Linked DNA regions of Xenopus tropicalis. The protein of the gene in region 2 binds, or shares a complex with, the protein of the main gene of each other region. Links are inferred from orthologs where the notes say so. Each region holds a gene or a part of one and is shown on either strand. Other genes may lie near its edges. The genes, in order: e2f5, rbl1, mybl2, lin9, lin52, arid4a and mybl1.

What was found.
Region 1: the proteins of rbl1 (region 2) and e2f5 are in contact, whole or in part, in a crystal structure (PDB 5TUV), measured with the Homo sapiens proteins. The link is inferred for Xenopus tropicalis from reciprocal best matches to the Homo sapiens genes RBL1 and E2F5. Residues at the interface, in NP_002886.2 of Homo sapiens: Ser1000, Ala1001, Leu1002, Leu1003, Tyr1004, Lys1005, Phe1006, Asn1007, Ile1017, Met1020, Ile1021, Gly1024, Glu1025; in NP_001942.2 of Homo sapiens: Met162, Ile190, Ala192, Pro193, Ser194, Gly195, Thr196, Gln197, Leu198, Glu199, Val200, Pro201, Ile202, Pro203, Glu204, Met205, Tyr213, Leu217.
Region 3: rbl1 (region 2) and mybl2 share a complex: the UniProt entries of both Homo sapiens proteins name them as parts of the DREAM complex. The link is inferred for Xenopus tropicalis from reciprocal best matches to the Homo sapiens genes RBL1 and MYBL2.
Region 4: rbl1 (region 2) and lin9 share a complex: the UniProt entries of both Homo sapiens proteins name them as parts of the DREAM complex. The link is inferred for Xenopus tropicalis from reciprocal best matches to the Homo sapiens genes RBL1 and LIN9.
Region 5: rbl1 (region 2) and lin52 share a complex: the UniProt entries of both Homo sapiens proteins name them as parts of the DREAM complex. The link is inferred for Xenopus tropicalis from reciprocal best matches to the Homo sapiens genes RBL1 and LIN52.
Region 6: the proteins of rbl1 (region 2) and arid4a are in contact, whole or in part, in a crystal structure (PDB 7SMC), measured with the Homo sapiens proteins. The link is inferred for Xenopus tropicalis from reciprocal best matches to the Homo sapiens genes RBL1 and ARID4A. Residues at the interface, in NP_002886.2 of Homo sapiens: Tyr849, Ile850, Lys853, Val854, Thr860, Phe861, Gln862, Met865, Lys866, Arg869, Tyr879, Arg880, Asp929, Leu930, Ile931, Tyr934, Asn935, Val939, Ala946, Leu947; in NP_002883.3 of Homo sapiens: Leu957, Val958, Cys959, His960, Glu961, Val962, Asp963, Leu964, Asp965, Asp966, Leu967.
Region 7: rbl1 (region 2) and mybl1 share a complex: the UniProt entries of both Homo sapiens proteins name them as parts of the DREAM complex. The link is inferred for Xenopus tropicalis from reciprocal best matches to the Homo sapiens genes RBL1 and MYBL1.

Annotation. Positions count from the first base shown.
Region 1 is NC_030682.2:125,177,638-125,181,868, reverse strand, and holds part of e2f5 (transcription factor E2F5), read right to left. Parts: intron 4,062-4,231; coding exon 3,809-4,061; intron 2,743-3,808; coding exon 2,527-2,742; intron 2,364-2,526; coding exon 2,319-2,363; intron 872-2,318; coding exon 765-871; 3' UTR 1-764.
Region 2 is NC_030686.2:42,375,480-42,378,558, forward strand, and holds the end of rbl1 (retinoblastoma-like protein 1), read left to right. Parts: intron 1-456; coding exon 457-621; intron 622-751; coding exon 752-919; 3' UTR 920-2,108; downstream 2,109-3,079. UniProt on the Homo sapiens protein: Key regulator of entry into cell division. Directly involved in heterochromatin formation by maintaining overall chromatin structure and, in particular, that of constitutive heterochromatin by stabilizing histone methylation.
Region 3 is NC_030686.2:39,923,775-39,928,736, forward strand, and holds the start of mybl2 (myb-related protein B), read left to right. Parts: upstream 1-1,917; 5' UTR 1,918-2,058; coding exon 2,059-2,078; intron 2,079-4,253; coding exon 4,254-4,347; intron 4,348-4,637; coding exon 4,638-4,709; intron 4,710-4,962. UniProt on the Homo sapiens protein: Transcription factor involved in the regulation of cell survival, proliferation, and differentiation. Transactivates the expression of the CLU gene.
Region 4 is NC_030681.2:8,015,208-8,020,100, forward strand, and holds the start of lin9 (protein lin-9 homolog), read left to right. Parts: upstream 1-1,560; 5' UTR 1,561-1,747; coding exon 1,748-1,838; intron 1,839-4,893. UniProt on the Homo sapiens protein: Acts as a tumor suppressor. Inhibits DNA synthesis. Its ability to inhibit oncogenic transformation is mediated through its association with RB1. Plays a role in the expression of genes required for the G1/S transition.
Region 5 is NC_030684.2:81,969,150-81,973,873, forward strand, and holds the start of lin52 (protein lin-52 homolog), read left to right. Parts: upstream 1-1,453; 5' UTR 1,454-1,468; coding exon 1,469-1,487; intron 1,488-4,681; coding exon 4,682-4,724. Other genes in the region: aldh6a1 (methylmalonate-semialdehyde dehydrogenase [acylating], mitochondrial), read right to left, coding at 949-975.
Region 6 is NC_030684.2:103,522,213-103,526,443, reverse strand, and holds part of arid4a (AT-rich interactive domain-containing protein 4A), read left to right. Parts: coding exon 1-133; intron 134-398; coding exon 399-599; intron 600-1,423; coding exon 1,424-1,508; intron 1,509-1,710; coding exon 1,711-1,903; intron 1,904-2,028; coding exon 2,029-2,091; intron 2,092-3,561; coding exon 3,562-4,231.
Region 7 is NC_030682.2:118,972,367-118,975,824, reverse strand, and holds part of mybl1 (myb-related protein A), read left to right. Parts: coding exon 1-45; intron 46-498; coding exon 499-657; intron 658-2,079; coding exon 2,080-2,211; 3' UTR 2,212-3,458. UniProt on the Homo sapiens protein: Transcription factor that specifically recognizes the sequence 5'-YAAC[GT]G-3'.

The DNA.
Region 1 (4,231 bases), on a different chromosome or scaffold from region 2:
GGTGATACTTTTTTTGCTACAAAAGGGGCTTTAAAGTGCCCTCCATTCATTACTATAATAACCTCCTGCACACAAAGGTTAGTAATAATGGTCTGACCCACATGCGACAGAAAGTTAGTGGCCCTTGTGGAGTGCAGTCTAATTAAATTCCCAAGGTTCTTTCCAGACAGGAATATTGGCAAACTTTACTAACAAAGTAGATAAATGTAGGCCCCATATATATCTGCTCTTCATGCAAGCTTTCCCTAAGTATATACGGCCTCATCAGACTGCAGTCAGAATCCAGGAAGAGTGCGGATAGTGACATCGCATCTGGTCACAGACTGCAGCAAACAGACAGCAATAGAAGAGCTTAGATACAGCTGGAATAGTCACTCCGACTGCACTGGCATGGAAAAGCACAAGTACATGAGACCCAAACAGCCATTAGTTCTCACTCTCCGATTCAGCCACGTGACAAGAATTACACAGTTCAAAGATAAAAAATTGTGGAAGAATGGAACTGAAAACCGTAAAATGAATGCATTTTCAATTGAAACATAAATTTATGACAATCAAGGATTTAAAAAAAACAAAAAAAAAAGATTAGACTTCATCATTAAACCTGGAATATCATTCTCAGTATATCTACTTTCAAAGTGCAAAAAAATACGACCCTAGCCTATATACATGTATAGTACAAAGATCAACATTATGGATATTTTCCCTGCTAGTAGTAGGGCAGAGAGGTAGAGACTGGGAAAGGAAACCCCCCAAAACTGTGCCTAATAATTTAATATCTGCACATCAAAGAGATCACAGACACCTTCGTTGTCATCCAAATTGAAGCTGTAGTCATCTGGAGTTGGTGAAAGCCGTAACAACGGGAAAACTAGAGGGGGAAAAAAAAAAAAAAAAAAAAGAAGCTTTAAAAAATTTTTTTAAAAGGGATAGTTCACCAATAATTAACTATGATTCCAAGACAATCATCAATAGGTCTTTAGTTTTTGGTCAACTTTGAACTATTTAGTGCTGCAGTTTGGAATTTCAGCAGCTTGTTGCTAGGGTTCAATTTAACCTAGCAACCAGGCAGCGGTTTGAATGAGAGACTGGAAAATGAATAGGATACTGTCGGAATAGAAAGATAAGCAGTGGGGGGAAAAAAAAAAAAAGCAATAAAATTGTAGCCTCTCAAAGAAAGTTTTTTTGGTGCAGGGTCACTGACCCCCCATATGAAAAAAAAAAATAATAAAATGGTAAGAGGCAGAAGAAAAAGTAAATAATTAAAGTAAAACTATTATAGATGAATGTCAACTGAAAAGAGTTGAAGAATGTTATAAATATATATTAATGATAATAGAAAGGATAGAATATACTTAAGTTAATGTAAACTACCCTGTGACCCGTATATCATTCTAGTCAATATACATTCATTAAATTCAGTTGAAGTTATTTGGAAATTGCTATTGAAAGCATCTGGCTTTTGTCTGCACTGCTTCTTTACTCTGCACCCCACTATTACAGGTTCCCAGTATGGCCGCTGGTACGCACAGGGGCAGCATAGCCCATCATACAGCATGAGTGCAGTGAATACTAAACATCTTGTTATTAAAGCAATAAGATAAGTCGGTTTTTTGCCTGGAAACAGGGAAGTTGAAGCTACTACATGTTTGATTCATTTAAAGACAATTAGATTACCAACAACCAACCCCCACCCATAACTTTGTTGTGACCGTTTTGGCTTCCAGATCATCAGAAAAACATTATGCAGGGGTATTTATCTGGACACTGGAATTTGATTTACCTCACAAGGACCAAACACAAAGTAGCTTCATTTTCCCTGTTTAACTAAAGAAACAAAAAGACAAAGCCCTTTTGCAATTAAAACAATAGGCACAAGTATTATTCACATCTCATGTTTGGTGACTAGGAATATTCAGGCATTTTGCCACATGAGGGGGGGAGACAAATCCCACAGGCAAAGCACCCCAATGTGCTATCACCATGCCACAAGTTCTTGGGTACTATAGTTCAAACTATATATGAACTGTAGCCATGTTTGATCCCATAATAGTTCTTTGGTACTGCAGGTATTGCAGAACTGCATCGTGCTACCAGCTCAGCTAGTGGATGAATACGGTGAGTTATATTTCTGTAAAATCTAGGGGTGACAATAGTTACCTTCCTAAATCACACAACCGCAAAAGTGGTAAAGCACCACATTTTATAGAACTAAAGTTACCAGCATCGCCTTCCCACCAATAATGCTGACATTGGTAGAAGTTTAGAAATATTCAAGCCCTAAAGGCAACCTGTGTGAGAACATGGGTGTTACATACCATCAGAAGACATAAGCTCATCAATAAGGTCTCCGCTTATTTGACCTAGGCAACAAAGTACAGTAATGTAAAAGAGCAGATTTATGACAGAAAAAAAAGCTAAACTGAAATTAGAGATATGCTTCTTTGGCTTCATTAATGTTTCAGGCACAGAAAGCTACAACCTGGGCCCTCTTGCCAGAAGTAACGCACAGTATAGAGAGCTTACCTTCCTGCTCATCCATTTTCGTTATATCAAAGGCATTGGGTCTCAGAATACTATTAACATCCAGTGGAAGCAGAGGGGAATAGTCGCTGGAAGCGGCCGAGCTTTGTGCTACATCTGTTCCAAGTGCAGAATACAGAATGGACTCGGGAAGTTCAGGGTAAGAGCTTGATGTGTTCTCCTGCAGATCGCTGGCTGGGCACTCAGGATTTAATTTACCTAAAAAAATCAAATACAGCTCAAAATGACAAGAATGCCATCTCCCATAGACTCCATTTTAAATATTTCTCTGTAATAATAAAAAAGCACCTTGTCCTTGATCCCAACCAAGATAGACAAAACAATCCTACTGGGTTTACTTAATGTGTTATTGATTTTGTTTCAGTAAACTTAAAAGTATGACTATCCAAATTATAAAAAGCTCCATTATCCGGAAAACCCCAGGTTCCAGGATTTGTCTTAGACACAAGATGCAAAACATACCACTATAGTATCCTTTGGCAACCAAACATTTATTTCCAGGGGTGGGTCACCTTTAAGTTAAAGTTATAGTTTTTGAATTATTTGCCTTCCTCCTGCAGGGGTCAGAGTTCCCCAGTTTTCAAATATCCCCTGCAGTCCAAAAACTATTGCTCTGTGAAGCAAAAACGTAATTATTGTTACTTTTTCTGATCTTTTTATTTAGCCCCCTTCTATTTATATTCCACCCTCATTTAAATTATTGCCTGGTTGTTAGGGTAAAAAACTGGAGAGAACCGTTATTTAAGTGAGCATCATCATCTCAAAATCTTGTGTATGAGCCAGAATGGAGGTCTGATGCCCATGATACACACCGTGAGGAGGAAGGGGGAATGAGAGGAGTGCAGTGACATTTAGGAAAGGCAGAATGGAAAGTGAAACTAACTGCCTGTTCCACTACTATGCCTGAGGCACAGGCAGGACAGGCAATATATACAACATCTAAGAAAAAAAAAAAAAAGTATAATGTATTTCATATTTAATTTGAAAGGGACTTTTATTAAGTGCAAGGGAACATGGAGTGCAAATAAACATAACCACACTGCTGTGTTTGCACTCCATGGAAGCAATTAATAGCACAATGTAGGCGCTGTTTGTTGTTTTGATAGGAATGCTTGGCTTGCAGAAACACCACCCCTAATCCCACCCAAGACAGTGGGATGTTCCAGCTACCCAGCCAGCTGGCTGTGCTGTATTGGTTTATTTTGCTTTCCCCCCACCAGGGTCACTTCATTTTCACCAACTGCAAACAAAATGCATTACTCACCTGCAGCTGCCTGCTCTGTCAGGTTACTCTCTTGTTCTTCTTTTACACTGAGAGAGCTACTCTGTGCTGCTGGCTGTTTGTTTGAAGAGGCCGTAGCTTCAGGCTGTGAATTGGGTTGTGTAAGGTCATCCGGTGGAGGAACAGGAAAGACGACAGGCTTGGAGGAGCTGGATTCCTTATTAATCAGAAGTACCTGAATAGGACCTGAATTGCTCTTCAAACTAATCTGGTATTTCTTCTGTCCGTTTTGACCCTAAAAGTTAAAACAACACCCCCCCAAAATGCATTGGTACATTGTATACGAATGCAGTGCTTTATACATGTAAACTTACTTACAGATAAAATTTATGAAATAAAGCCAATCCACAAAAGCTAATACTTATGGGACCCACAGGCACAAGCCGGCCAACCACTGATATTTAT
Region 2 (3,079 bases):
CAATTGAATCTATTATATGATTTCTATGGGTTAGTTACTCTAGAGAGGAGGGAGCAGTCTTGAAATAAAAATGGGAGATGTATAAGGGCGAAAAAACATGGGGCGATTAGTTGCCGCAACTTTTTAAAAAGTCTGTTGCGGTGACTAATCGCAGTGACTTTTCTGCCATAGGTTATAATAGAAGTCGCTGCGACTAAACACCCGTGAGTTTTCACTACGCAGATTACTAATCGCCCCCTGTGTCTTCACCCAGATAGAGGACCTAGAAAAAAAGCAATAATAAAATTGTCTTGAGCTGTTTGGTTGCCAGGGTCAGTGACCTTGGCAACCAGCCATCCATCATCATAATGAAGTTACCTAAACTGATCTATCTTTAACATATTAAGTTATTGTGAAGGTGTCCTTTTCCTTTTTATAGCATGGGCCATACATTTGATGTGATTTTTTTCTTTTTAGATGGATGCTCCGCCTCTTTCGCCATTTCCCAGCATCAAGCAACAAGCTATTTCTCCCCGCCGAGTATCCCAGCAGCATTCTATCTATGTGTCTCCCCATAAGAACAGCGGCAGCCTGACTCCCCACACAGCCCTCCTGTACAAGTTTAATGGAAGTCCTTCAAAAGTAAGTTGTGCCCTTGCTGGGGACGTTTATATCCCGATTATAGTTATACAGTAGAATAAAGGGGAGCTTGATTGGTGGCATTGGTTGACATTAAAGGGACTCTGTACTTATTATATTCTGTTTATTGAAGAGCTTGCAGGACATAAACAGCATGCTGAAACAGGAGCAGAGGAGCCGGAAGCGGATCATTGCTATTGACAGCGACACGGAGTCCCCGGCAAAGCGGCTCTGCCAGGAAAATGATGATGCTCTGCTGAAACGCCTGCAGGATGTCGTGAGTGAGAGGGCCAACCATTAGCTGCAGTCTGGCCATTGGCATTCTGTGGTTCCGGCCCATTAAAAAGCTACATTTTAGGCAAGTCTCGGGTCAGTACCCTTCCAACTGGGCCCCCGAGTTCCATTAGGTGTTGGAGACTCTTCTTGCACGTATGATATTGTACACTGTTTGCTAGCTACTGTCTGCAATCTCAATCACTGCAGTTGGCCAAAAGCCTTAGCCACGTGGTCAGTCGTGATGGGACAACTGCCCTGCCGTTTCCATGGTTTTATCTATTTTTTTCTTAACATGATATTTTTAACCTATTGTGATAAAGGAAAGTCTATCGTTCCTCAGTTTTGCCTTTATATGAAACATATATGGCTTACTGAGTTCATCAGGGTTGAATGTTGTGAGCTGTAATAATACTGCCGGTGGAGGCGCCCCCTAGTGGACTGAATTCTATTTCATTACCTGCAGTAGCATTTTACTGATACAAAGCAAAGCTTCATGAGTACATTTTTTAACTATAGACTTTTAATTTTATGAACACTAGCTTTCAGCAGCGCAGCATACAGTTTTTATTGTTCCTTTTTAAGTGTTCTTTTTGCTCCAAAAGCATTAATGGAGATTCTTTTTATTGTAATGTATGAACTTACAGATTGAGTTCAATCAAGATCTGGCAACAAAATCTTGGATTTTCCAGCGTTGCGCTGTGTTTATACAGTCATTTTACGGACTCCAGGGAAAAGGAGTAGAAATATTTGGCAGTGCATTTTCTGTGCTGGGTTTTTCCTGCTCTATCTGCGTGCAGCCATTTTATCTTTTTATTCCTAGCGTAAAATGAAACCCTTTGATGTGAATCTTTGCTGTGCTTTTTTGAGCTGAATGAAATTGTGTAGCATCTACACCTTTTTATGGTTTGCTGGCACCTTTTTAAATCTCTGTACATAACGTTTTATTGTACATTACAATGTCACTTCCATTCAGATGAATCTTCTTGAAGCATCCTATTCACAATTCTGACTTTTACATTATATATGGTACACCAAATAAGAGAGGAGGAATGAAATCTATGCAGCCCCAGATCCTTGCAACAGACCAATGAAGCATCTGCCTGAAATGGAGCTGCAGGTGTACCACAATAGTGTAGGCTGAAGGTTATAGTATATAAATGTATATGTAATATGCCTATGTGTAAATATGTAAAATAAAAAGGTCCCTACTATTACTGGGTACTTGTACTGACTTCTTTTGGTGGGGCTGAAAGCCTAAACAGTTGGAATAACAAAGTGTGGAGGAGCTGTAACTACAATTCCTCATCTGCCTATTTGCCATACTCTGTTGCCCAGCTGATGAACCAATCAGTATCCATAATGGGGTGCAGGGGTCATGGACAGCCAATGTTAAACAGCCTGGGGACCCATTTTATGATCCCAACCTAAAGTTTAAGAATCCCTGGCCTGAGGGTGCACTCTCTATGGTGATTAGCAGCATCCAGCAAAATGAGAATTTCTACCGCAGTTTACAATGACTGCACACAAGGCTGCAGATGCGGACCCACCTTCCATCATTTTCTGAACAGCCCGCACCCGCAAACACAACTCCCGATCCTTCTAATGCTGGCCTGCTAGCTGCAATTAACGGGATCCACACTTTGGTCACCACGCAACTCAAAATGATCAAGGCAGACCTCTCCCTGCTGTGCCAGAACTTCCAAAACCTGCAGAGACCACACAACCTGTGCTTAGCTTTGGTGATCCGACTTGGAGGACGTGGTCCACCGAGTACCGGACAAACTGGCGCAACTTTGGCAACAGGTGCGGGCACTTAATAATAGAGCAGAGGGCTTAAGCAAAGTAATCATCTCAATTGCTCATGTAGATCAAACAGGGCTTGATACCTAGCTAAAGTATTGCTGTTAACTTGGGATGACTATACACTCACTTTCAAATTGAACATGTATGCAGTTCTAGAATCCTGGCCTCTTTAGATGCCCCCTAAGGCAATTAACGTTGAATGACTTAAAGGAACAGTAACACCAAAAAATGAAAGTGTATAAAAGTAATAACAATATAATGTACTGTTGCCCTGCATTGCTACAACTGGTGTTTGCCTCAGAAAGACTACTATAGTTTATATAAGTAAGCTGCTGTGTAGCCATGGGGGCAGCCATTCAAAGGAGAAAAGGCACCGGTTACT
Region 3 (4,962 bases), about 2.5 Mb from region 2:
ACGGATAGTAGGCTGGGATAACAGTTGGAAGCCAGAAGGAACCAGGCTCCAGTAATCCCACTATTATACACCTCTAAAAAGGACATATGATTAAGAGATTTGTATATAAGCACTCCCTGTAGGGCTTTGCCAACTATCCCACAGCATTCAATTAGTTAGAATTGGCTTAGGGCAGTTAGGATAACAACACACAATACTCCCAAGTGTGAAAAATCACTGCAGGTGTAGCAGGTTGTTACTATTCTTTAAATGGGAAATGTTGCAAGGGATGCCTGTTGTAGGGTTGCAGAACAGGGAATGTGAGTAAGTCTATGTTGTTGTAGTAGTTTTACTATTGGGAAGTCACAGGCCAGTCCAGGCGCAGACTGGTAATTTGTAGATCCAGACAAATGTGGGGCTGCTGTAAGATGCCATAAGGGGGCTGTTTGGGTCTCTATGTACTTGGAACATATTTTGTATCCCAGTCCTGGTCCCCTCAAACAGCATATTGCTTGATGAAAGTCAAATATTCCAACATGTATTTTTGCCTCCAACATATTAAACAAAGAACAACAAAGTTTACCCAAAACAGACAAAGGAAAACATATAAAACATCTCAGCTTCCAAAGCCATTTGTGCATACAACAGCCAACTGGCATTCAAATGAATGGCAAGCATCTCAGCACCTATCTATGTCTCTGTTAATCACCTGGCCAACAAAATGGTTAAATTACTAAACATGCCAGCACCTTCACACAGCAACACAATATGGGTTTGTACTAAGCCCTAGTAACAATTACGCGACACACCACCAACTTGATTCCCTTTGTGCAGCCACTTACCTTCCCTGATAGATTTCCTCTAAATGATTTATTCTGGCTTCCAGGCAAGTAGCCTTTTATATAGTGTTTTAGGAGGTTAAGTAGCCAATCAATCTCGCCTTGTGACCCCACCCATTATCCAATTATCCCATTCCTCACTTGTAGTTGTTAGGCCAGACCAGCTCATAGGGATGCTGGATACTGAGGAATGTGAGAGCCATGTTTCAAGGGAATGTTAACTGTTACATTAAATTTGTATTTGTTATAGAGACATCCCTGCTGTACCCCCATAACGTCTTCCTAACCTAACACCTCTCCATTTATCTTCACTGTCTACTTTATAACCTTCCTCCATCTCAGTTATGGTTTCCCCCAGTCTTCTCTCTCATATAGAAGTTCCATTTTGCTCCCCCTGTTCCCAGTTGCAGAGGGTGGAAGGGAAAGTGATATAATTTCTGCCTTTACTGAGGGTTCTTTCCACTACTGGGCAGTCACTCCTAAGCCATGCTGCTCAGACTGGGTTCAGGAGAGGTTATATTTGAGCACATACCCCACCCCCCCTCAGCAATACCACTTGTAGCCAGCCAATGGCAGTCCTGTAGAAGTACCTAATAAACATTTCAGGTTTTTTTTGTTTTATTTATATTTCCATTCTATTTTTTTTCCAGCCTGCAATTGCTTAGTTGTCAAGGTTACCTAGGTAACTGAAAAACAGACTGACTGTGAAGGTTCCATTTCATTATTATTATTATACTTCTATGTTTGTTGCTAGGGAACTCCCATTCTAGTAACCAGGCAGCAGTTCAAATTTAATGTTCAAAAACCTATACACTCATAGCAAATCTGAGGTGGTGATGTCAGCGTAAACCCCACTTAAAATGCATGGCTTAACGCTACCGTCGCCAAAACTAAGAGGAAATGACTGTCTAGTCTGGAAATTTTTAGAATCCTCTGTCACTCGGGTTGTTACAAAACGTAATAGGCGCCAGAAGCTGTCCCTCATTTCTAGCTTTGATTGGTCGCCGGGAAATCGCTGACATCAGTGCGCTTGCTGTTCATTGGTTAAAACCGGACGCATGGCCCTCCCCACATATAGAAGTGACAGGCACCTAGAGCGCCTCCGTATGGGCTGTAGGCCCCGCCCAGGGAGTGGGTTCCGCCCCGGAAAGGGAGTTCTGTGGGTGCGTGCGCAGCTGGCGGGAGATAGGAAATAACAATACCGCCACAGACTGCGCACTGAAGTGTCCGGAGCGGCAGGATGTCCCGGCGGGCCCGCGGGTGAGCCTGGCACTAACGGGTGGGGCAGTGGGGCTGCACATACGGGCACAGCTACTACTTTAGAACCCGGCGGCCTTTTCTTACTACTTTTGAGTAGGTGCCAGTCACTGGGCGTCTGCTTTGCGCTTTCAGTTCTGCGCCTCCTCCCTGCCCTGTGTTATCGCCCTTACCCTGGCCTTGCCTCTGCCCTGGCCTTGCCTCTGCCCTGGCCTTGCCTCTGCCCTGGCCTTGCCTCTGCCCTGGCACCTGCCCTGGCCTTGCCCCTGCCCTGGCCTCTGCCCTGGCCTTGCCTCTGCCCTGGCCTTGCCTCTGCCCTGGCCTTGCCTCTGCCCTGGCCTTGCCTCTGCCCTGGCCTTGCCTCTGCCCTGGCCTTGCCGGGCTCTCACCTATTGGCCTTCTCTGGATTTACTAACTTCCCCCATTCTGGACTTTCCTGTCTAGTTGGGCTTCTCTGTCGGTTCCACATGCCTAAACTATAGCTAAACTATTCTACTGCTTCTCTCTCCACAGCTGGGCTCTTTGCTCTCTCCCCAGTCTCCCCTTCCCTCTACCCCCCAGCTCTCTCCCCAGTCTGCCCTTCCCTCTACCCCCCAGCTCTCTCCCCAGTCTCCCCTTCCCTCTACCCCCTCAGCTCTCTCCCCAGTCTGCCCTTCCCTCTACCCCCCAGCTCTCTCCCCAGTCTGCCCTTCCCTCTACCCCCCAGCTCTCTCCCCAGTCTGCCCTTCCCTCTACCCCCCAGCTCTCTCCCCAGTCTGCCCTTCCCTCTACCCCCCAGCTCTCTCCCCGGTCTCCCCTTCCCTGTACCCCCTCAGCTCTTTCCCCGGTCTCCCCTTCCCTGTACCCCCTCAGCTCTTTCCCCGGTCTCCCCTTCCCTCTACCCCCTCAGCTCTCTCCCCAGTCTGCCCTTCCCTCTACCCCCCAGCTCTCTCCCCAGTCTGCCCTTCCCTGTACTCCCCCAGCTGCCCATCACTGTCACCCCTCACCTCTCTCCCCAGCTGCCCATCACTGTTGCCCCCTCAGCTCTCTCCCCAGCTAGTATTGCCAACCCTTGTTTTTGTCTATTATCTTTCTAGCCTTCTCTTTACTTCCCTTGTTCTGTCTCCCCATAAGGACTTTCCATGTCCACCCCGAGTGGGCTTCCGTGCATTGCCCCATTGTCCGCTCTCCCCCACCCCCATTTGCACTTTCCTATGAAGCTTCCACTGTCCTCCCTCTGAGAGTTTTCCTTTGGCTTTCCATACACTTCAGGGCATGCATATCTGCCCTACTACCCCATATTTCTCTCCCTGTGCTTCCCACATTTCCCAGTACTTCTCAGACCTTCAGTAATGCTATGTTTGTGCACAGCTGGCCCCCAACGACCCCTTTTGTTTTGGCTTTTGTCTTATTGCGCCAGGAGGTTAACTTGTGACTCTCCAGCTGGGTTTGTCCCTGCTCTCTCAGTGCTCCATTCCAGCTGAGCGCCACGTTCTGCAGCCTCCCTGTGCTTGTTTGCCTGTCTCTGCTCCTCATTTATAACCCTTCTTAAAGAGAAAGAAGTTTTTGTCGGCCATATTTCCTTAGATTCTTAGTAATTTCTTTCTTGTATATCTAGGAACACTACACTTTTTGTGTAAAGGTGCCTCAGGATGTCATGCTGATTACAACTCCCTCCCCCACCTTCACACTTCTCCCCTTTGCAACCCACCTACATTGACTGCATTTACAGAAATATAATGCACTTATCAGACGCTTAAGTAAAACCCAAGGATGACTTCCCTAGTGCACAGTTTTCTCTTTTTTTTTTTTTTTTTTTTTTGTTCATGTTTCTGCCTGTAACCTTGTGTTCTGTCCCAGCTATGTGCCACATGTAGGATCCTTTGCTTTCCCAAGCTGAATTCCACCCCACCCCCCTTTCTAGTTGACCCAGCCCCTATGTGATATCTCCAAAAGCAAGCTGGAGAGGGGTTGCTGGAAAGTTCGACCTTCGCATTTGGAGTAGTGGCCACCCTCATGGCACCCTGGTTTTTTTTTTTTTTTTTTTTAATCCTTGTTTTGCTAGATTAACAGACACCCTATTCCCTGGGTGCTTTGAGTAATGCTGCCTCTTTCCATATGCTGAACCTGTGCTTATTTCTGGGACACTGTTGCATGTTGACTAAATACTAATAATAATTTTTTCTTTAACCCATACAGAGATGATCTTGAGGATTTGCAATATCAGGACACAGACTCTGATGTCCCGGAGCCAAAGGAAAGCAGGGTCAAAGTGAAGTGGACCCCAGAAGAGGTACAGTATGCAATTAGATGTATTGCTAGAGCAATACAATCCAGAGTCCTTATCTCTTGCCTAGGGCTGGATGAGAACCCTTCTGTCCCTCCAGTGCTGGTCTTTGGACTTCTTACTGTGACTGACATCTCTGTCATCCTCTGGGGGTCTTATATGTTGGTGATACTATTTACATAAAATAGTACAGGGATGTCACTCCCCAGTATTAGGTCATGCGTAAAAATTGCTCCCGTCCGTGTTTCCCCCAGTAAGGTATTAATTATTGTTTCCATTTTGTTCTGTTTCATTAGGATGAGACGCTAAAAGCCTTGGTGAAGAAGCATGGACAGAGTGAATGGAAGGTGATTGCCAGTAACCTTACTGTAAGTTCCATCATCCCTTCAGTGTAAATCTTACATTTCACCATGCTTTATAAGTCTTATAGAAACGCAGCTTAGTGAGCAAGTGCAATTTTCCTATTTGGTTTTTATCCGCAATGCAGCTTTTTGCTGGAATCCCTACACAACTGTAACAGCGCTGGGAGTTGTAGCCACTGCATTTGTCCCAACATGACAAAGCTAAAGCAATTGCGCATATAAAAATCAAGTGCAAGTCATGGGAACTGCATCGGTTCTG
Region 4 (4,893 bases), on a different chromosome or scaffold from region 2:
GCAATGTCCAGATAAAGCCTGCATCAGCTTCAACATGTGTCTTACCCTTCGTCTTTGGGGAGGTGTGAAAATCTGTGTAGCGACGATGCACGTCGGCCTAGTATCTATTGGATTAAACTTTGCAATCACTATTACATATTTAGCCAGACAGTTTGGCTGACTTTGATCACCCTGCCCTACTATGTGGGTGCGTTTGGCAAGGTACAGGGCTGTTAGAATATCAGGGGTGTCTGACTCAGGTGTTGCTCTCATGGGTCCATTGCTGACCAACATCTGGCAAAATACAACCTGACTAGCTCATCTGTGGCAGTATTATTATATAATATACCGTTTGGTAATTTCCCTATGGGAGCTTAGTGATGCAATTTCTGCCACAACTCACTAAAACTTGTATATTATAATAAAAAAAAGTATCCTCTGTGGTAAAATATGGGGATATTAGAAGTCACCTTGGGAGTTCCATGACTTGTACAATAATATCCCTATATGTTACAATAGGGGGTACTTTATTCGCTATATATTATAAGTAACCCCTTGCGAACTTATAATATCCCTATATGTTACAATAGGGGGCACTTTATTCACTATATATTATAAGGAACTCCTCGGGGGCTTATAATATCCCTATATGTTACAATAGGGGGCACTTTATTCACTATATATTATAAGGAACCCCTCGGGGGCTTATAATATCCCTATATGTTACAATAGGGGGCACTTTATTCACTATATATTATAAGGAACTCCTCTGGGGCTTATAATATCCCTATATGTTACAATAGGGGGTACTTTATTCACTATATATTATAAGGAATTCCTCGGGGGCTTATAATATCCCTATATGTTACAATAGGGGGCACTTTATTCACTATATATTATAAGGAACTCCTCGGGGGCTTATAATATCCCTATATGTTACAATAGGGGGTACTTTATTCACTATATATTATAAGGAACTCCTCTGGGGCTTATAATATCCCTATATGTTACAATAGGGGGCACTTTATTCACTATATATTATAAGGAACTCCTCGGGGGCTTATAATATCCCTATATGTTACAATAGGGGGTACTTTATTCACTATATATTATAAGGAACTCCTCTGGGGCTTATAATATCCCTATATGTTACAATAGGGGGTACTTTATTCACTATATATTATAAGGAACCCCTCGGGGGCTTATAATATCCCTATATGTTACAATAGGGGGCACTTTATTCACTATATATTATAAGGAACTCCTCGGGGGCTTATAATATCCCTATATGTTACAATAGGGGGTACTTTATTCACTATATATTATAAGGAACCCCTCGGGGAATGTAAATGTGAGTTTTACTGTAAATACCAGAGCGCCAGTAGCGTTCCAGCAATAATGCTCCACAGAATCCCCACAGCCCCCTCTCAGGGACACAACCACTGTGGGATGATGGGACTTGTAGTCCAGAAACAGCTTCAAGCCTCACTTTTAACGAACTACAGGTCCCACCATCCCACATAAAGCCCCTGTGAGAGCCGCTATACCCGGCGGTGCAACCCCGTCCCGTTACTATGAAGGGGGCGCGCCTGTAAGATTTCTTGGCCGCGCACAAAATGGCGCCTGAGGCGGGTACGCGCACGCACTGTTTGTCACTGACGTCACGTTCTCGCCCAGCAACGCGATCCGGAGCCCGAATGGCGGCGCAGAGAGGGGAGTTCAAACCGAGCGGAGGCTTCCCCAGCCCTTGAGTCCCTGGGAGGCCGCCATGAAGCGCATGAAATCGGTCAGGAGCCCCGCCGGGCCCGGGAATGAGGCGGAAGAGGCTCGGCCGCTGGAGCTGCTGGCAGAGGAAGAAGGTGAGAGCCGGGCTGCTCCTGTCAGTAGCGGGGTGAAGGCTCCATAGGGAGCGGGCAGGCTGCCGGGAACTCGGGGTGCGAGTGGCCCTTCTATTCGCTGGTGGTTATTATACAGGGGCCCCCGGTCCCAGCAGCCCTGTCTTCTCCCAGCGCCCTGCTGTGTGTGTCCCTTACTCTCATATCCCTGCCCCTGGGTTCCCTGTGTTATGGGCCCCCAGCCTTCCCCCTAATGGCAGTCACTGGGGGGCCCAGCCTTCCCCTAATGGCAGTCACTGGGGGGCCCCAGCCTTCCCCTAATGGCAGTCACTGGGGGGCCCCAGCCTTCCCCTAATGGCAGTCACTGGGGGGCCCAGCCTTCCCCTAATGGCAGTCACTGGGGGGCCCCCAGCCTTCCCCTAATGGCAGTCACTGGGGGGCCCCAGCCTTCCCCCTAATGGCAGTCACTGGGGGGCCCAGCCTTCCCCCTAATGGCAGTCACTGGGGGGCCCCAGCCTTCCCCCTAATGGCAGTCACTGGGGGGCCCCAGCCTTCCCCCTAATGGCAGTCACTGGGGAGCCCCAGCCTTCCCCTAATGGCAGTCACTGGGGGGCCCCAGCCTTCCCCTAATGGCAGTCACTGGGGGGCCCAGCCTTCCCCCTAATGGCAGTCACTGGGGAGCCCCAGCCTTCCCCTAATGGCAGTCACTGGGGGGCCCCAGCCTTCCCCTAATGGCAGTCACTGGGGGGCCCAGCCTTCCCCTAATGGCAGTCACTGGGGGGCCCCAGCCTTCCCCTAATGGCAGTCACTGGGGGGCCCAGCCTTCCCCTAATGGCAGTCACTGGGGGGCCCAGCCTTCCCCTAATGGCAGTCACTGGGGGGCCCCAGCCTTCCCCCTAATGGCAGTCACTGGGGGGCCCCGCCTTCCCCCTAATGGCAGTCACTGGGGGGCCCCAGCCTTCCCCCTAATGGCAGTCACTGGGGAGCCCCAGCCTTCCCCTAATGGCAGTCACTGGGGGGCCCCAGCCTTCCCCCTAATGGCAGTCACTGGGGAGCCCCAGCCTTCCCCTAATGGCAGTCACTGGGGGGCCCCAGCCTTCCCCTAATGGCAGTCACTGGGGGGCCCAGCCTTCCCCCTAATGGCAGTCACTGGGGGGCCCCAGCCTCCCCCCTAATGGCAGTCACTGGGGGGCCCCAGCCTTCCCCTAATGGCAGTCACTGGGGGGCCCCAGCCTTCCCCTAATGGCAGTCACTGGGGGGCCCCAGCCTTCCCCTAATGGCAGTCACTGGGGGGCCCCAGCCTTCCCCCTAATGGCAGTCACTGGGGGCCCCAGCCTTCCCCCTAATGGCAGTCACTGGGGGGCCCCAGCCTTCCCCCTAATGGCAGTCACTGGGGGGCCCCAGCCTTCCCCCTAATGGCAGTCACTGGGGGGCCCCAGCCTTCCCCCTAATGGCAGTCACTGGGGGCCCCAGCCTTCCCCCTAATGGCAGTCACTGGGGGGCCCCAGCCTTCCCCCTAATGGCAGTCACTGGGGGGCCCCAGCCTTCCCCCTAATGGCAGTCACTGGGGGGCCCCAGCCTTCCCCCTAATGGCAGTCACTGGGGGGCCCCAGCCTTCCCCCTAATGGCAGTCACTGGGGGGCCCCAGCCTTCCCCCTAATGGCAGTCACTGGGGGGCCCCAGCCTTCCCCCTAATGGCAGTCACTGGGGGGCCCCAGCCTTCCCCCTAATGGCAGTCACTGGGGGGCCCCAGCCTTCCCCCTAATGGCAGTCCACTGGGGGGCCCCAGCCTTCCCCCTAATGGCAGTCACTGGGGGGCCCCAGCCTTCCCCCTAATGGCAGTCACTGGGGGGCCCCCAGCCTTCCCCCCCTAATGGCAGTCACTGGGGGGCCCCAGCCTTCCCCCCCCTAATGGCAGTCACTGGGGGGCCCCAGCCTTCCCCCCCTAATGGCAGTCACTGGGGGGCCCCAGCCTTCCCCCCCCTAATGGCAGTCACTGGGGGGCCCCAGCCTTCCCCCCCTAATGGCAGTCACTGGGGGCCCAGCCTTCCCCCCCCTAATGGCAGTCACTGGGGGGCCCCAGCCTTCCCCCCCCTAATGGCAGTCACTGGGGGGCCCCAGCCTTCCCCCCCCTAATGGCAGTCACTGGGGGGCCCCAGCCTTCCCCCCCCTAATGGCAGTCACTGGGGGGCCCCAGCCTTCCCCCCCCTAATGGCAGTCACTGGGGGGCCCCAGCCTTCCCCCCCCTAATGGCAGTCACTGGGGGGCCCCAGCCTTCCCCCCCTAATGGCAGTCACTGGGGGGCCCCCAGCCTTCCCCCCCTAATGGCAGTCACTGGGGGGCCCCAGCCTTCCCCCCCTAATGGCAGTCACTGGGGGGCCCCAGCCTTCCCCCCCTAATGGCAGTCACTGGGGGGCCCCAGCCTTCCCCCCTAATGGCAGTCACTGGGGGGCCCCAGCCTTCCCCCCCTAATGGCAGTCACTGGGGGGCCCCAGCCTTCCCCCCCTAATGGCAGTCACTGGGGGCCCCAGCCCCCTAGGGTCCTGGGGCCCCAGCCTCCCCCCTAATGGCAGTCACTGGGGGGCCCCAGCCTTCCCCCCTAATGGCAGTCACTGGGGGGCCCCAGCCTTCCCCCCCTAATGGCAGTCACTGGGGGGCCCCAGCCTTCCCCCCCTAATGGCAGTCACTGGGGGGCCCCAGCCTTCCCCCCCTAATGGCAGTCACTGGGGGGCCCCAGCCTTCCCCCCCTAATGGCAGTCACTGGGGGGCCCCAGCCTTCCCCCCCCTAATGGCAGTCACTGGGGGGCCCCAGCCTTCCCCCCCTAATGGCAGTCACTGGGGGGCCCCAGCCTTCCCCCCCTAATGGCAGTCACTGGGGGGCCCCAGCCTTCCCCCCCTAATGGCAGTCACTGGGGGGCCCCAGCCTTCCCCCCCTAATGGCAGTCACTGGGGGGCCCCAGCCTTCCCCCTAATGGCAGTCACTGGGGGGCCCTCAGCCTATCCCTAGTACTATCTGTAAGGGCCACCTTCTTCCTAGTCACTGGGCTATGGGGCCCCCAGTACTTACTGTAAGGGCCAC
Region 5 (4,724 bases), on a different chromosome or scaffold from region 2:
CATCATCACCCATAAAGGTAGCCCTAGATCATGGGTGTCAAACTCAATCACATAAGGGGCCGAAATCTAAAACACAGGCCAAGTTGAGGGTCAACCATGCCTGACCGTGCAGCACCACTGGGACTGGAGCAGTGATGTCAGGTGATAGGTGCTGCATGTTCAGACACAGTCACCATCGGCCACATAAAACAGCCAGGCGGGCTGGATTCGGCCCGCGGGCCTTGTGTTTCACACATGCCCTAGATAATCAACAGTTTATCCATTCCTATGCTAATATATAGCACAAAGCAGGCATTAGCTGCCAACAATGCCCACATAACCTACTGCTGGCAATCAGTGTGCAAGTCCATATAGGTATTTTTCTGAAGTATACCTTCTTATTAGGATCTCAGCATAAGCTGCATAGCACTGAACATTATTAAGCACCCACTGGGAATATCTGATATATCGCCTTATATACATGGGAGTGTTCATGTGCAATGATATGCAGCCCAACAAAGCACCAAATTTTGCAAAGTAAATTATCCAAAACTTAACAAAGGAGTATATCAGATTAATATTAATCAATAGGAATACCAGATCAATCCTCACACTATTTGGTTCACTACTTGAATCTTAGTTTCCTTCCAAGACTTTTGGCAAGGCCTGGGCTGGGCATACCAATACACGAACTATGAAGGCCTCTAGAGAAAGGGCAGTGACCCATCCTCTCCGGTGCAAAATTCTAATGCAGGGGCCCAATTTACTACCCCCAACACTGAGTCACTACCGACCATCAGTCTCTTAATCCCAGCCTCCTTTATCCGCGCATATCAACGTAGCCCTGCTTGTAAAATAGCACCTTCATAATATAGTTTCATTCGTCTATTGGGAACACCCATTTATTTTGGGTACCTGGGGATATTCTCTCCCCCACTCACTCATGTCAATGTACTAGCCCACACTCACCCTCACTATTCCTCTGATCCGCATCATGCTTCCTTCAGAATCCCTGAGCTTCTCAGAGACTGAATGACAAGAAGCCACACCTCTACCCCGCCATTGGCTGATGATGCCACGGCCCCTTAAAAAGTGTTTCCTATTGGCCTGCCAGAAATAGTGACCGATTGTGCGCTAACTCAAGGTTTGACCGACTGGTGCCCTACTATGTGTGCCTTGATTGGCTCATATTTGTCACGTGATGACTCTTGGATCTTCACCGCTATTTGCCATTTTTACGATCGACAAAATGTGTAGGAACATGACGCCTTCTTGGTGTCTGGAAAGTGATGTAGCAAAAAGGCAGTGCATCGCACCATGCCTTAATGGTTAAAACATTATTGTACAAGTTAACTTTAGTCTTTAAAAAATAGACGTTTGTGTAAGCTATGGGTGGGTGCAGCAATATGGCGCTTAAGTATAGAGCGTCAAATTGGGTGTACCAAGATGGAATGTTTAAGTCTATTTCTGTCACGTGACAAGTGAGAAAATGGCGGCAGTTACGGATGGTAAGCGGTTGTTTTTAATTTGTAGGTACACTAATGGGCTTAGAGGAAAGTATTCTACATATATGTATCCGATAATTGCTTCTAGCAGCAGGGTAAAGCCGATGTGTGTTCCCGCTGCGCATGGTTACTCTGTCGAGAAAGTACTGGGAGTTTATCATTAAACCTTGAAAATAACAGTGAATGCATTGCGATGTTCTGTGCTGCTCTGGTGATCCCTAGCCATGTCAATAATTAGCCGCAGACAATGAACTGATCCTTCTTTTACTTTTCACATGTAATAAGGCTTCCTATTGACATCAGGTGGAAAGTGTACAAGCCTTCGGCTTCGTCTAGTTTGTAGGAAGGTGTACTTGCACAATTTGGGATGTTGCCAATGTACAGACATTAACCTAAATACTACTACTCATAGACGAATGTAGCATAGTGCACATGCGTAAAGCTGTTAGATCCTAGTGTGGATATAGCTCAGTGATCAAGCTACTAAAGGCAATTAAAGAAAAGAGTGCTTTATTTTAGCTAAACATTATCATAATCACAAACCTAATGTCCCAAAATTATATACGAGATATTCACGCTCATGAAAAAAGTATTATACAGTCTAGCCTAATCCTAATGACCCAAAGTATACTACGTAAACCCAAACTCTTCCTATCAACATACATGTAAAAAATTTGTGTAAAAGCTTTGTGAGTTGAACCCAGAACCCTAACACAGAAGGGCAAGAATTCCGACCACTTTACCACAATGCTACTTGGTTACTCTAGTGTGTGAAAATGTATTCTTGTGAATACACCTTGCCAACAAGAAAAGTTAAAATCTAGCTTGTTTTGTATGAATAGCCTAGATCCTTTTGGTGTAATGTCCTTTTGGTGTAATGCCCAAACAGCCCCCACCTGGCTAATAAATGTCTGGCATCTAACAGCAGCCCATCTGGCATTCCCCTGGATCCACAGATAGCCAGTCTATACCTACAGGTGGGAGTGACTTGAAAATGGTAACAGAAAAAAAGATACAGTAAGAGCAGAAGAAGTAAAACCTTGCAGAAATAAACTCTCCTGCATACAGGTTTAGGAAGAGTGAGGTACTTTATAACAGAACCCTACCAAAATAAGATTTTTTTTATCTTTTAAAAGAATAGCAAGAGTATATGTCCTCTTTATTTTACTTCGTTTGAGCAAAGGTCTATACTGTTTTTGTTACCTCAAATCTATGTGCTGAGATCTTTGTGGGGTATGAGTGAGAGTTTACTTGCAATAGTTAATGGATAACGCTCAATTTAACTTGTTTTTTTCCCTTTGAACGCATTCACAGCTATAGTTTACAAGGGGAATTATACCAGTTTTAACCTGTTGTGTGGCTTTTACGTATTTTTTTTCTCAAATTATACTCTGCAAGTAGTAAGCATGGTTTGCAAGCATGATACCTTCTTAAAACACAATGCTAGCAAAATTCACTGGGGTTGCCAAGTTGTCAGCCACCCCCCATGATTGTAATCATCAACAAGAGAAGTTGTTCACATTGTGCACAGTACAAAACTCACTGAACAATTACTGGACTCTGCTTACCCAGGGCAATAGAGGAGCTTTGGAAAGAGCAGGGAAAAATGGTTATGGCACACTCTGCAGAAAAAATGCAAGCTTTGGGTCTCTGCTCTGTAAATATAATCATGGGGGGATGACTAACAAATTGGAGCCTGCCAATGATTTTAGCTTTTATCATCCTTTAATGAGTGAAATTCATAGAGATTTTCATTTGTACTAATGGATTTGTTCATATGACCCAAACACTTTATTTACTTAGCTGTTAGTACATGCTTTTACATATCACACTGGATGGTTTGTAGCCTAGATCCAACTTTTAAATGGAAAAGAGCTCTGTTTAAAGATGCACTTAATCACAGGCAAGTCTAAAGACTGGAATTCTCCACATTCTGAATTACATCAAATTGACTTTGGTTGCAGCTAAAAGAGTTATATTTAAATAGTGGATTGAGTCCTCCCCTCCCTCATTCACTGACATTTAAGCAGAACTAAATCTTTGTAAAAATGAAACTATTCATTTCAGATTCGATAGCTTGAAAACACCATTTAAAATTTACATCAAAATGGAAAATATTTGCAAAGCTTGGAAAATAAGGAAAGAGATAAGATACATGACATCCTTTATCATTAAAATGGATTCCTACTATACGTAATCCTAGCCATGAAAATAATACTTGGCACAAATTTTTTCTTGAACTCTAGTAACTTTAATATATTAAATATTATTACAATTAGTTTTATGTAAGATTGTAATTGTTTACTTTTCAATGCTTACCTTTTATGATCTCTCTATTTTGAATGAGATTCCACGTTCACCTGTATGTTTTCTTGAATACTAATACAATGATTAAAACAAAAAAATGAACTTTACACTTTTTTCAACACAAGCAAGATAAATAGAATGTATGTATAATATAGTATACTTATGTATTATTATTTAGTTTTTACTTTATCTACCTATTTTAACCGCTATCAACTGAGTTTAAATAGGGCCAATAAGCTTTGTATAAACAAACACCATACTATTTATTGATCTGATTTTGAGCTAGAGGTGACACTGCCCCTTTAAAACCAGTGGGAAGTAAGTAGCTAAGGTCACAAAGTCACAAGATTTCACTTAGTTGACTATTCAAAAATAGTTTTGGCATTTAAAGGAACAGTAACACCAAAAAATGAAAGTGTTTTAAAGTAATTGAAATATAACATACTGTGGCCCTGCACTGGTAAAACTGGGGTGTTTGCTTCAGGAACACTACTATAGTTTATATAAATAAGCTGCTGTGTAGCCATGGGGGCAGCCATTGAAGCTGGAAAAAAGGAGAAAAGGCACAGGGTACATAGCAGATAACAGATAAGACACCATTGTATTCTACAGGGTTTATCTGTTAGCTGCTATATAACCTGTGCCTTTTCTTCTTTTGAATGGCTGCCCCCATGGCTACACACCAGGGTTTATATAAACTCTAGTAGTGTTTCTGAAGCAAACACAAAACTTTTACCAGTCCAGTACATTATAGTTTAATTTCTTTAAAATATATATATTTTTTGGTGTTACTGTTCCTTTAAGCTGTTAATCAGCAAACGTTTTCAAAATGTTTATTCACTTGTTTATGAGTGTACCTAACTACTGAAATTGAATGTTGTGCGGTTTAGATGCAGATCTGGAGACCTCACTACTGAGCTTTGAGAAACTGGA
Region 6 (4,231 bases), on a different chromosome or scaffold from region 2:
AGGAAAAGGAGGAAGATGAAAGCACTCCTGTGCGAAGGAGCTTACAGTGCCGAGCAAAAGGAGATCAGAAAACCAAAAAGCAAGATGAGTCAGAAAGAGAATCTGATGAAGATGATGAAAAACCATGTGAAGGGTAAATAAGTCATTAATATCACTATGCAAATGTTGGTGCACCAATCTGTAGCCATTCAGAACTCAATAAAGCCCCATTATGGACACCAGCAAAATACATGATACTGGCCTCAAAGTCTAGTCTCGCCCAGTGATTTAAGAAAATCGTTGGTTCCTTGTGTAGAGCTATTTTGGAAAGAAACCTTTTCTGCTTGTCAGCATTCTGGTTAGTTTTCATGCACAGTATTGATGAGATTGATAGATGGCCTTGTTTATTGTTTTTATAGAAAAGAGGATTCTGAGCACAAGGGAGAGACTGAAGAAGAGGATGAAGACACAGAGGATCGAGACTATCTCGCTGGAACTAAAGTTAAAGTGAAGTATGGGCGTGGGAAAACTCAGAAAATTTATGAGGCAAATATAAAAAGCACGGAAGTGGATGGAGGAGAGCTATTATACCTGGTTCATTATTATGGCTGGAATGTAAGGTAAGTGTGAAGAATGTAGCTTTTTTTATTGTCCATATGTGCCCCACCAAAGTATTAATTTGATTATTTGTATGCTGCCAACTATTACTCAGTTTGGTCAAAACATCTAATTTCTGTCAACCCCAGGTAACCAGTTGGGAGAAACGTTTTGAATGGTGTTAATTTTTAATTCTTAATCTCAGTATGGCTCATTTTACTTCGCAAATGCAGTAGCTTTGTTTTTTCCCCACAGTGCACCATTTCTTCCCAGAATTCCAATGACATTGCAGTTGCAAGGGGGCAATGTGCTTGCAGCAGTTACACAGCAACTGCAGTTACATCTGGTTTGCCAGAATTAATGCAACTGTGCATGCATTTTCCAAATTGGATGGAATTGCACAGAAGGGAGTCTGGCCTCATTTGCAGGGATCAGCAAGTGACACCTGCACCTTGTTCTAAAGGCGCAACTTACTGCACCTATTGACACAGGAGCTACCGCATGGTCAGGAGGTGCCAGTAGTGCCAGGAATCCCCTCCGTTAATAGGTGCAGCAGCACTACATGAATCGAAAAAAGTGAAAGCAGGAAGGAACTGGAGCCATTGTCAACACTGGGTCACATTCAGTCTGTTCAGACAAGATTTTGGAAAGCACAGGCTAAATAAAAATTCCTCTTGACACTGGCAGTCAATACACCCCATCTGATATTATACTTGGAGGTTTTATAAACCACAGCTAGGCTTAGCTTATTCCTTTTGCTTTCAATGTTTACACTTTGTTATCTAAGAGGCAATGTCCTACAGCATATAGTTTTGTTTCAGTAGCATGATAATGTACTCTCTTGCAGATATGATGAATGGGTAAAAGCTGACAGAATCATCTGGCCTTCAGACAAGGGTGGACCAAAGAAAAAGCAAAAGAAAAAAACAAAAGTAATTACAAAACAATTTTTTTTTTAATTAACCATTTACCATGTTCCATGAGTCTTTCTGCTTAAAAAGTGAGGAATAAACCATACAAATTTTAGAGGGCCAGAACAACCCCTTTTTGAAAATATGTTTATCTTGTCTGTGGATTTTTCTGAGTCTTTAATTTATATACATTATTTATTTTAATTTATTATTTCCCTGCCAGAATAAAGATGAAAATGAAGAAAAGAAAGAGGATGATAAGCGATCAAAACGAGGCCGTCCTCCTTTAAAGTCAGCTCATCAGACTAATATGACCTGTGGTCTGCCAAAAACTCCGACTAGCGAGGGCAAGACATCCGTTAAAAACATGAGAAATAGCTTATCGGATAGCTCCTCATTATCAAATGGGCTAGAAGGTAAATGTAGTGCAAATAAAAGTCATAATGAAGGGCTTAGGTTACAAGCATTGTTTAAAATGTATACTGTTTGTTCATATGTATTTTCATTTTACTTAGTTATTATATTTTCCTTTGTATAATAGGATCAGCCAGGAGAAGAACAAGGAGGAGCTCTGGATTATATGATTCTGACAGATGCTCAAATGGTGGGTATTGGGTAACCAGAGCATTTTCATTATGACTTTTATAGCTACCACATATTTTGATAGTATTTTAGTAGTTCTTGCACACCCAGTTGTCATTCTTTGATTATTTTTCGGTATATCACATTCTTTTGATATTGTTTTTGCTGAATAATACCCACTTGAGAATAGAAACAAAATCCTAGATGAGACCCATAATCAGTAAATAGCTTATGAGTTTAATGAGTTTATTGGAATACTCAAAGAAGAGGGTAAGCTATAAGATGGGTACAGCCTAATCTTTCGAGTAATAGGCTATTTACAAACAACCTATATCTTTGAGTGGACAGATGTCTAACATTCTAGCCAGAACATTACTTCCTACTTTCAGCTTTCTAACCTCTTAAGCTGGCCATACACGCACCGATAATATCGTACGAAACCCCGTTTCGTATGATATTCAGTATGTGTATGGCGAGTCGACTGATATCGCAAGAGGCTGCTGATATCGGTCGACTCGCCGATCGGCCAGGTTAGAAGGCGCCTGATCAAAATCTGCCTTAAGGGCTGAATCGGCAGAAGGAGGTAGAAATCCTATTGTTTCTACCTCCTTATCTGTGGCCGACCGATGGTCGCACGAAAGATCGGAAATCGCCACGTGTGTGGCCACCTTTAGTCAGTGACTTTAGGGGGGGGCCACATGGGACATAACTGTTCATTTAGTTTGTGAGCATGAAGGTCAGATTCAAATGCAAACTAACTAAACAGGTATGTCCTTTATGGCCCCCCTCAAGTCAATGATTGGTTACTGACTGCTAACGGCTTAGAAAGCTGTAAAGGAGGAAGTAGAGCTCTGGCCATTATGTTAGGCAAAAATATAATCTATAAAGGCAGATGTCTATCTATATTGAAAACTTTTATATTTTACCCAGTTTCATTTTAATACTGAACTGCTCCTTTAACCTTTATGATTGCACTTTTTAAACCAACATGATGGCTTCTCTAATTAGTTTGAATTTTTGGTGGCTTATTCTGCCATTTTGTTAAGAAACATGTAGTCTGTTACTGTTTTCAGTTAAGATCCAAATAATCATAGCCATAAATGTAGCTTAAGCTCTAGAGCAAAAAAAACATGTTGCTCACACAAAAATAGCGTTGCTCACATCTTTTGACCAATCAGACATGATTATGTCATGGTAAGCATACTAAAAGCAACACTATACAGATCATGAAACAGAAATGTGCCTGATCCTTATTATGCAAACGGATGCATTTATTCTTATATTAATGTTACATGGAGTTGTTATAAGCTTTTATAAGCTATAGAATGACTAAGCACTGTTAAGAAGAATAATTTGATCCTTATTAATATATTTATTAATATGCCTTAAACATTTTGAATTACCAGCAAAGACATTTTTACAATTCAGTTTTATTTCAAAAGATATCATTAACATGCCTCTTCTAACTCTTGTTTATTATTTCCCATCCCAGACTCAAGCACATCTGAAAGTGAATCTGATGAAACATCAGAAAAGGCATCAGTAAAAGAGGAGGAGGTCCTACCAAAGGCTGAAGAAGAACCAGAGAACATTTTAAGCCTAGTTGATATCAGTCCTGTAAAGGAAGTGCCGCCAGTAATTTGTCTTCTAAAAGATCCGGAACACAGTCCAACAAAGCCAGCAGAAACTTTAAAACAAGAAGTGGAGGAAAGTGAACAAATCGTTCAGATTTACGGAAAGCAAACAGAAGAATTGGAAGAAATAAAGGAGGCAGAACATCTGCCAAAGTCCAAGGGAAGGAGAAGTAAAACAAAAGATTCTTCTGTAGAGAACACAAAATGTTTGTCAGCAACTCAGGAAGATACATTGGTTGAGCCTCATGTGGAAGAGGACACGTTAGACCTTCCATCATTATCCCCTTTACAAAGTAAGGAGCTGCCGTTCACTCCAAAGGAAGCAGAACTTCCGAATGACCAACTTGCACAGGAGAAAAAAGGACTAAAAAGAAAACCACTAGAGCAGTCTTCTCCTGACAAGAAATTGCGGACAGAGTGTGACCCAGAACTGCCTGTCATTGTTGCAGAGGAAAAAACTGAAGAGAATAATGAGGCTCAGGAACACTTTAACACTATTCATGAAGATGAGGAGCTTCCAAATGTAAA
Region 7 (3,458 bases), on a different chromosome or scaffold from region 2:
CTTGGTACAGATTATTTGGCTCCAGATGAGGTTTCTGAATCACAGGTATGGAATACTTTCTTTTTGTATTGGTCAGCAATATGCAGCTGTAAATAGTACACACAGAAGGTATTATGGCAAACAAACTAGAACACAAAACAATTAAGGCTTTCTTCATTCAGTGTGGTTGTTTGTTGAATTACTTACAACCTAAATACAGGACAGTTAAAAGAAGAACATTTCTGGCAAAAAATCTAAAAATACTAACTGGTGCAGAAAACTATTTAAATTACCAAGGGCACTTAGATACCTTTGCAATGTTACATAGCAAAAGGAATGCTTATTTGTCCCTCAACTGATGATTATGTGCAGAAGTCTCTTTTTTTTGCTACCATTTTTTTGCTACCAGTATGTCAGACTTTATGACCAAGTTTAACTCACAAGTTGATGTACATTGGTACTTTATTTTCTACCGGGCTGTTAACAAAACAACAATCCATAATGCCTTTGTATTATCAGAATGGGAATACACTTCCTACGTCTTTCCTAATGATACCTTTGGGGGAGAGACAAGACCGAAAGTGCAATGTGAGCACTGAAACTCAAAAAGGAAATGTAACACAAAGGAAAAATTACATTCCTGCCATGAGAAATGTCAAGGTGCAAAGTTCTGTGCAGGTATGTTGCATTTCCTTCAGTCATTCTTAATGACAGAGGGTATAATGTCCCAAGAAGACTTTAATCTGAAAGCAGTAATCTATACTGAAAGCATGAATCCCATACAAGCATATGCTACAAAAGAGTGCTATGATGTCACCATCCATTGAATGTAGCAGAATAAAAGAGGTGTTTCTAGAAGGGGATTCCAGATAGCTAATATAAACCCTTATAGAAAAACACAGTGGGAATTGTACATCTGAACAGCTTATGGCTGAGCAGAAATATCAGTGCTTCTGTCTCTGACATCTGAACAGCAAATAGATCTTAGATCAGTTGAATGCTTGCATCCTTGGTTTGTATGAAACAAGAAATACACAGGATACAGGTTCTACAAATGTTATAATATACACATATAATACACAGAGCTGTATAATATATCTTAATAAACTCTGCTTTAGTGATGTCATTAGTTATAATCAGTTCTTGGTGATGTCAATGAATAATGTTGTACACCAAATAGGTATTATATGTATTATAAAAGCTAATTTACCTCTGCACAAAAATATGATGAGTTTTATGATTTACAAAAATGCTTTTATGGTCATCCAACTACTCTGTATATAATTTACAATAAGGGATACACTATTTACTATACAGGTATGGTATTCGTTATCCGGAAACCCATTATTCAGAAAGCAGCCGGGAAGGCCATCTTCGATAGACTCAATTTTAATCAAATAATTTACATTTTTAAAAATGATTTCTTTTTTCCCTGTAATAATAAAACAGTAACTTGTACTTGATCCCAACTAAGATATAATTAATGCTTACTGGAGGCAAAATCATCCTATTTGGGTTTGTTTAATGTTAAAATAATGTTTTAGTAGACTTATGGAGTTCCAGATTCTGGAAAGACCCATTATCCAGAAGACCCCAGGTCCCGAGCATTCTGGGTAACAGGTCCTATACCTGTAGTATAATCTGATTTTGATTTTTTATCTAATAGTATGAAGATCCAAATTACAGAAAGTTTTTGGAAAACCCCAGGTCCTATACCCGTATAATTCTGTGTGTGTAAGCAGTAATGGCTCTTCATTGTTATGCATAAATATAAGCTTCTTTCCATTTTAATAATGACCCAAGAAGTGCAACAGAGGATGGTGATTGTACTCCATTTCTTACAGTGCCACATTTCTTGATCAATATTGAATAGCAATACTTTAAATCTATATTTATAATAGCAGCTATTTTTTATTTTTATTGGAGTGCTGGTTTATCGCAGCATTATTGTTTTATGTATAAATATGTATTAAAGCATCTTCTAATGTGAAATGCACACCTCTGCTGGGATATAAACAGAAGTATAAGCTAATCAGTCCTAAGTCACCTGAGTCACCACTGTATTTGCTTGTTGCTTACAATTGTGTATTTGCCTTTCAGCCTCTCTGCGAATGGGAAACAGTTGTATATGGGAAGACAGAAGACCAAGTAATCATGACAGAGCAAGCAAGGAGATACCTTGATACCTACAAACAAGCTTCCAGCTCTGGATTAAGGCACCTAATTTTATGAATGTTGGATGATAACTGGTGATGCCAGTTGCCCCCTTTTTTACACAGTGCACTATAATTGTTAATATTTTACTTATTAATTGTACAGTAGAACTTTGTATTATATCATAGAAGTTTTATTTAGTATTGCTTTAAAAAGAAACTTTAGAGGTTTTTATAGGCTCTGTAGATTTGAAGTTAAGATCCATCCTGAGCAAAACTAGAGTATAACCAGAAAATGTTGTCTTTATTCATTAGCTGGCTTAGGTGAGAACACTACAGGCATAGTTCTCTAGGTGAGTTGTTTAATTGTAAAAATAAGGATTTTTCTTTTCAACATGCTGACAGCCACATAAGACATGTATATTTTTCTGCATCTTCAGTACCAAAACTTATAACAATTTACGACATTTTAATGACATATATAGATTTATATGTGCCACATAGGAGTGATTTCTGCTGTATTTGACTTTTTAGTCTGTCTCCTTGGATTTTTTAATACCAAAACAGATCATAATTTGAAGACTTTATAGAGTGATTATGGTCAGCCAGCTTCTTCATATGAGCCTCTTGCTGGCTATGTATGAGTTTGCCTAACCAGAGAGTTCAGCAACTGCCTTATCTTTTCATAAATGACTTTAAAGTTATTGGGAAAGGCTGTCAAATAGGCTAAGAAGCTTTCTTCTTTCTGGAACCTACTCCTACTTTTCAAAGAGCATCAAAGATGTCTTTTGAAGCTGTTTTAAAGAGTTTTAAAAGATAGACAAGTGATATCATTTACATATTTACAGTAAATCAATAATGAAAAAAGTCCACCTTTGTTTAAATGTTACAGAAGGTACAGATACAGTCAACTCCTTTATGTATTTATTACGACAAATCCTTTTGTAATAGATTTTCATACTAAGACTTTTTTTATGCTCGTTATGTGTGTGTTTGTGGCCAATGTCTCCAAAAGTCTGGTACTTCATTTAGTTGTCAGGAAGGTCAAGCAGTTGCACTAATAGAATTCTGTACAGTGAATAAGAACCCAGCAAAATACTAGTGTTATTGATATTTATGTATACATGGGTACTTACAATTTAGGTAACCAACAAGGGAATTTTGTCTTTCTGAGATAGAATGTATCAGTATTTGTTTCTCAGGCTGAGAAATGTGATAGGATGTTTGAATGTATTTTACAGGGTGTGGGAACATGATGAGATTTTCCCCCTGCATCGCTTCATGCTTGCAGGTATAGGCCATTGTCTATATACATGCAGGTTTGTG